Linked DNA regions of Arabidopsis thaliana. The protein of the gene in region 1 interacts with the protein of each later gene in a pairwise test. Each region holds a gene or a part of one and is shown on either strand. Other genes may lie near its edges.

The links.
Region 2: the proteins of RL5 (region 1) and LBD40 interact in a two-hybrid assay, tested with the Arabidopsis thaliana proteins (one large-scale study listed by BioGRID).

What each region holds. Positions count from the first base shown.
Region 1 is NC_003070.9:6,755,405-6,759,189, reverse strand, and holds RL5 (RAD-like 5), read left to right. Parts: upstream 1-1,769; 5' UTR 1,770-1,899; coding exon 1,900-2,174; intron 2,175-2,679; coding exon 2,680-2,707; 3' UTR 2,708-2,953; downstream 2,954-3,785. Other genes in the region: AT1G19500 (uncharacterized protein), read left to right, coding at 3,654-3,785.
Region 2 is NC_003070.9:25,051,633-25,055,490, forward strand, and holds LBD40 (LOB domain-containing protein 40), read left to right. Parts: upstream 1-2,040; 5' UTR 2,041-2,168; coding exon 2,169-2,358; intron 2,359-2,515; coding exon 2,516-3,027; 3' UTR 3,028-3,232; downstream 3,233-3,858.

The DNA.
Region 1 (3,785 bases):
TAATTTATAGAGGTTTTACTGTATGTCAAAGTTAGGCGGCGTGAGTGCATTTTTCTAAATAAGTTTGCGTTCTTTCCAAATTGTAACTAGTGTTTCTAAGTCAGAAGTAGATAAAGGTTTCGTATAGTTGCGGTAATCATGGCAATTCTTTGATATAGTAAGCACAAAAATGATACATACAAATATAGTAATATACAATCCACACAAAATAAAATGGTCTAACTAGTAACTAATACTAAAAACTAAAAACAAATTACCTAGTACTTGAGTAAGAATGAGTGATAACAAAGGTGACTACATCAAAAACTCGTGCATCCAATATCCAAACTCGGATCATGTATTATCTATGAAGACTCAATTAGTTGTTCTCAAAAATGTCCTTCACCAAAACATCATAATTCATTCATGTCGGGATTAAATTTGCCATAGTGACCGAAACTATTTCTCTCATAGCTAACAAAAACCTATAGAGAGTAGGATATGGTGAATGGTGTGGTCATCACTCTCACTCTAGTCAATATGGAGTAAAAACCACATAATTTAGATGAGTCGTGTAATCTTCTAACTTATATTGGAAGAGATTGTAGTACGACGTGTCTTAAAACTTTTCACAATAAACGTTATGTGGTGTTTTTGCTGCACCATAGAGGAATGGTGCAAAAAGACATTATTATGCTATGAGACCACACTGAATCTCCAAATTCTTGTATAATTATCAGAATCAATTATACATATATAATTTCTGTTAAGAAAAAGAAATAATGAAACATACACTTTACTATATTTTTGACAAAAAAAACATATAATTTGTTATAACTTATAATTATTAAAATGAATTCATTTTCATAAAACAAGAAAGGATTGGATAAAAATGTACAACTATGAATGAGAATCAATGCAGAGATAGGGATATTGGAATTTTATCCCAAAAGAAGACGATAATATCTCTTATGGTATTATTCTTTTTTCAGCTAAATTTAAGTGGCTCTTATCAAAATGGTTGTCGTCCAAATTTACTTTTCTCCATCACACGGGATAAGTTATTAGAATTAAAACAAAGTGCCCAAGAGTATCGATCCCATCTCCTTCAAATTATTATTATTATTGTATATTAATCGATAATAAGTTAATAACAAATAAAAGTTATGAAAAATCTCTATGAAGTTTAGTACAGGAGATGACATATCGAATCCATTAATTCGATATTAAGGAATTTTCTTTTTCTTTTCATATCAAACGATGATTATATAAAACCATTTTACCAGTTTAACAAAAACTATTTCGTATGTGAATAAACTATCATAATTCATCGTCTTAGCACAACTTTGTACGTACTTACATTATAGCTAAGGTGAATCTGATTCATTGGAGTATAAAAGACGGGATCTTGTTTGTCCACTCTTTTTTTCTATGAATACCAATGTCTTTAACTTTTCTTTTGAGTTTTTAATGATTCCTTTACGTTATTATGTTAAAACCAAAGATGATTCTACTACGTACCCTGCAAGTCATAGGCTCAACAAATAACCATTAAACGCTTAAACCCTATAATTTAAAGAGGTTACTAATTTTAAACTTCATAAGAACACATACGAGCGTTAATTAACGGTTGACTTCTCGACATTCTTCATACAATACGACACTATGCTCTGAAAACCCTTATGGACCTTAAAAAATGTAGACCCATAAAAAGAACTATAATTCTTTATTTTGGTATACAAACTAAAAAAATATTGGATAAACACTACAACTTGCGGAATCTCTCAACTCTCTTTTCCTCCATATAAGGAGCCTATTTTGGCATTCGTTTGTATTCGTAACTTAGTATCGATCCCTTTTCTTTCTCTTTTCTTGTTTCCCTATATATATCTCATATATTCCCAAAAGAATTTAAATAAAATGGCCTCTAGTTCTATGAGCTCGAGCTCTTCTTGGACGTCTAAGCAAAACAAGATGTTCGAGAGGGCTTTAGCCGTTTACGATAAAGACACTCCCGACCGTTGGCAAAACGTGGCTAAAGCAGTTGGAAGTAAATCTGCAGAGGAAGTTAAACGTCACTACGACATCCTCGTTGAAGATCTCATGAACATCGAACAAGACTTAGTACCTTTGCCTAAATACAAAACCGTCGATGTTGGAAGTAAATCTAGAGGCATCGATGATTTTGATTTGAGGTGAAATCTTTTTGTCCTTACCAAATCTTTTAGAGTTTGTGGTCGTTTTTGTGATTTCTATAGTGATTTAGTAGAAACATATGTTTAGTTCAAATAATTTCAAAATCTGATTATATAAATGAGTTCTTTTGGTAGTAGTATATTAAAACTAGTGATGAACGTTGGACTATATAATAATAATAATATAGGTATAATAATAAGAAACATGCAACCACACGCACCATCCCTTCTATTTCCGGCATTCTCATTAAAAGGAAAGGAGTCACATGAAATCTAATCCTGTTTGTGCACCATCACATGCACATTGTCCTCAACTTTTGAATCTTATATGAATGATATAATGTTATATATGTATATATCTAGCTAATTCTATATTATTCGAATACGATTAAATATAACGGTATATATTAATGCAAAAGTGATTCTGATTTTTCACTGGTCGGTGATCAACAAAAGTGGTATCTTAGTGTCAAGTTATATTAATTAATCTATTGTTTTTTGACAGGTTAATGAAGAATATGAGAATCCAGTGAAGTTGTTACATGATGTGAAGATTGCTATATGTCTAAGGATTCAAAGGGATATGTTTTCTTCTTTCTTATACTGATGAGTGTATCATTCCCTTTTCATTGTGTTTCTTATTTGCTCTGTTTAATCTTATTTCACAACAAATCATCTAGCTATTTTGGTTTTGTTTATTTATAATTCTAATCTATTTTTGTCAAATTCTTATTTTTTTAATTTGTCTATGGACGGGGATTTATCATTATACAGTATAGTTGGTTCACATCTATTCCACCTAGTAAAACAACTGATTTCCATTTCGTAATCTCAATTTCCAAAACTTGTTGAAAATGAGAGTATTTTTACCATTAAAAACGTATACATTGTACCATGATTGAAATCCCAAATGCAAAGACTTGAATATTCCCCTGCAAAATCCTCCAACCAATCATCAGCTGGTTAGCATCTCGATCTAGAGCTTTGATAAATATTTTAACAATCACTTTTGTTTATAAAATAAACTAAAGCTTAAACATCACATGTAATTGCATACATTTATAACGTTTTAAATTTCTTAGAGATAAAGCATTTATAATAAAGTTTAAAAGAAACGAATATCACCAATTCACTATATGGACCCAAAAAAAAAATGAAATCGAAAACCATAAAACTGTTGCTTAATTTGGAACTGGCATGAAACTAAAGCCATCTCACGTCGTACTATTTTCGGCGTAACCACTACCAACGTTGGATCGTTCCACCAGTAAATAAAACCAAATTTTAAATCTCCTTCACATATAAATAAGGAACTTCAAATTAAACCAAACGAAACACGAAAAACACGTACGTAAACAAATAGACTTTTGTTTCTTACAAGCTTAAGACAAATTTACGAGCTACCTCTAGTTATTAAATCATTCTTGTTTTTATAAACCAATAAAAGAAGAAGAAGCAAAAAAGTTTGCCGGAGATAGGATGGCGAAAATATCGGTGGCCGTGCTGTTGTCGGTAATGCTACTTGTCTCGATAAACTCGGTGGATATCTTGGCCGAGGAAGAACCAACGGTTGGGCAGAGGGTAGACTCCGCCATGACGAGTGTCACCGAT
Region 2 (3,858 bases), about 18 Mb from region 1:
GCTTCACTTTTGATAGAATTCGGGGGAAATAGAAATTGTTAAACCAAAAGGAAGAGTTAACGTTCGATTCTGTATCAGATAAATCTCTATAAAGGATTATATCATTGTATTATTCCAGCTAGCACATATCCATTTTCGTATTTGTCAATTAAGAGAATTTGTATTTATTTGTTTATTATAAGACGACAATAAGAAAGACGACAAAAAATTTTATTCGTATGCTTATATTTTGTATGCATCTATTTTTCTACCTCTTACCTATGCATTTTTATTTTAATGAATTATCATATCTGTTTGTCAATCACTTCTATAGCAATATGATAATTTGGTTGAAACTGTATTTATCCATACGTCTATCTAAACATGTATATATACCATTTGAATTTTTCAAAAACATAATATATATACATATAGGAATTAGGTTATTGACTTATTGTTTATCTTACAATATGTTAAGTTATTTGATATAGAAAATTATTGTACAACTTTATACAGGTCTTCTAAATTACCTGAAACGACAACAAATTTATTTCATACTAGTATATATCATATAGCATATATAGCTTTCACATTCGTCTGTAACTGGTCTTTCAGAAAAATTGACTCTATAGAGTCTACTAGCTATAGTTATGATTGTTCGCATGATTATATTATTAGTTAAAGTGGAGACAATCGTATTAATCGTGTGATAGCCGGCAGAAGAAAAAATAAATCGTTTTATCCGTTAAAATTATATATATTTTGTTTTACTGTATTTTTCTAGTTTTTAACTAAGTTTTATCTTTATATAAATAATTATAAATGTTTATATAATGTTTGATATACTTAAATAAATATTTTATCTAAACTTTGTTTGCGATTTGACATTTTTAACATTTTTGATAGATATTTATATATTTTCTATAATTTTAATTTTTAACTGTTTCTAAACCTTAATAATAATTAATAGATTGTGTGTGCGTTTTTTTCTTTATTTTATTAAAGAAGTAATAGAAATAATTCAAACATCACCATTCAATGATGGGTGTTTCAATGGAAGAAACTACCAAATCTAACCAATAAACGTTGGCATCTATTCACCTAAAAGTAAAAATTGTAGAGCCTATATTAGTCAAAGTGATCCATGCAGATAATTTATTAGTAGGTCTTTCGATATTAATGTTGATATATACTAGAGCCTATAGAAGTCAAAGTGATTCCATTAAGATAATTTATTAAGTAGGTATTTGGATATTAATATTAATTATCAGAATTATGTATGGAGCTACATAATGTGTAACCGCTCAGAAAACGCGGCGATTCGACCAAACTCTGTTACCACAATGTCTCCGCCACGCGATCACACTTTTGCGCTTGCATGCGAACGTTGAAATTCGAACCTCTCATCTCTCTATTTACCATTTTACCCTCTAGTAATTTCGTTTTCAAAATTTACTATCTCCAAATATTTTGGCAGTCCATTATTAATTGCCGAACATTAAACTGCGGTCTAGACAAAAACAAACGGCGGTCAGATATAAACAACTAACCAAAAAAATAAAATACTTGACTGGTTTTGGACATTTTCGTCGATGATGATCACGCGCTACGAATGAGAGCCAAAGACAAAGCTCAACGGGCTTCCATATATATTTCATATTTATTAGTAACTATTTTCCCCAAAAAAAAAAATATATATTATTAGTAACTACAAACAAACAAACAAAATGTATAAACCATGAAAATTAAAGATTTTAAAATTTTATAACTATACAAATAGTATGAGAAGCTTTGTTTATTTTTATAAACACATAATAACAGTTTGAAAAAATTACTTACCTAAATAAAGGTAATATTCTCGTAATTTACTAAAATAATTCATACAAAATATAAAAACAATTACAAAACTCTTCTTTTTTGGGCTCTTTACATCTTATTTATACTTTGAAAATTACGATATCCATTTAGAGAAAAATATAACATGCACGTCACAAATTTATTTATTTTTTGAAAAAAATTACACACAAAGAAAACGACAACTTCGTTCCTTGTTAATTGTTATGATCTCTCCGACCAAACCCAAGCAGCTTCTCCCTCTTAAATACCTCTTCCTTCTTCTAAGATCTCTGGACCATTCTGTACTTTCCCTCAAACCCAAAACACATTTTGTTTTTTGTTTCCCATCTAAAATGCGTATGAGTTGTAACGGATGTCGAGTTCTACGAAAAGGCTGCAGTGAAAACTGTAGCATAAGACCTTGTCTTCAATGGATCAAATCCGCTGAATCTCAAGCCAACGCCACCGTCTTCCTCGCCAAGTTTTATGGCCGTGCGGGGCTCATGAACCTCCTCAACACCGGTCCTGACCACCTCCGTCCTGGTATTCAAACTTCCCATGCATGTTATGTTTTTTGTTTGTTATGGTTAATTGCGAAGTTCTGGACGGAATCTCTCATACATCTTTTTAGGAAACGTAGGATCCTGTTTATTTTTCTAACATGCATCTAATAATTTGGTAATTTTGTTTGTTTTTGCAGCGATATTTAGATCATTGTTGTACGAAGCATGCGGGAGGATTGTGAATCCGATATACGGATCCGTGGGGTTATTGTGGTCAGGAAACTGGCATCTTTGTCAAGCGGCCGTTGAGGCAGTAATGAGAGGCTCACCCGTGACTCCGATCGCATGCGACGCAGCGGTTACTGGTCAAGCACCTCCTTTTAACAACAAGCTTTGCGACATAAGACACGTGTCAAGCAGGGACGAGAACGTTAAGAGACGGAGCCGTGGTGCATGCAAGGAAGAGAGAAACGTGAGGTCTTTGAGTCATGAGTCGTCACTGAGTCACGAGTCACCGGTGTCTTCTGAGGAGACGACGACGGAGGAACCAAAGACTTGGATCGGGCTTGAGCTGACTTTGGGGTTGGAGCCTTTAGCACGTGGAAATCACGTGGTGGTACCGATGAAGAAAAGAAAGTTAGAGAGGTGTGGCACGTCTGAGGATGAGGACACGTGTAAGATTGAGCTTGGACTGGTGTGCAGTGAGTGAATGGTTCTTTTTTTGTGGCTGGTCTTAATTACAAGTTTTGGTGTTGAGTTTTAGGTGTACAAATAGAGATTAACGAATCTCTCTTTTTTCTCTTTTTGAGTTTTATGTTTTGTTTTGTTTTCTTTTGCATGTTCGGTGTTCTTCATAAATATGTATGATGAATGATAAAGAGGTCTTAACTTAACAAATCTTGGTTCGGATCGACATAACAAACATTTCTTCTTTCCATTCTAAATTCTTGATTTTACTCATGTACTTAAACAAACGATGCAATTGATGTAAACACGTTTATCCCAATAAATTTTGTATTTTATTTATATAAAAAAAAACTTAACAAATCTTCTATTTCAGAAATATCTGGGGTTAGATTACAAAGAATCTAAGTTGCTTAATGATGAAATCTCCATATGATGATTAGTCATTCATTTATAAATATTTTGTCTCAAAAAGCCCTTTTGTATGTGAACCGTGTTACCAAATGACTCAGCAGCTAACATGCATGTGTGTTAGATTTTTGTTCTCGAAGGATATGTGTAGGAACTTAATTAGCTAGAGAAAACGAAAAGGATGAATTATTTTAACTAATTGGGTCGAAATGTGTATTCAGCAGAAAACATAGCCCAACTCTTTCGGACTTGAATCCTGTTTTGTCCATCTATCTTCCCCCCCTATACACTCAATTCTCATACTATCAGATATGCTAAAATAATTAATGCAGTTTCTAGCCTACAGATATTTTGGGCTGTTGTGACTTACTTTTTGATAAATAAGAAGATACTTTTGTTTCCATAAATTTTGATTTCAGAAACTAAAAGTATTATAAGCCAAAAA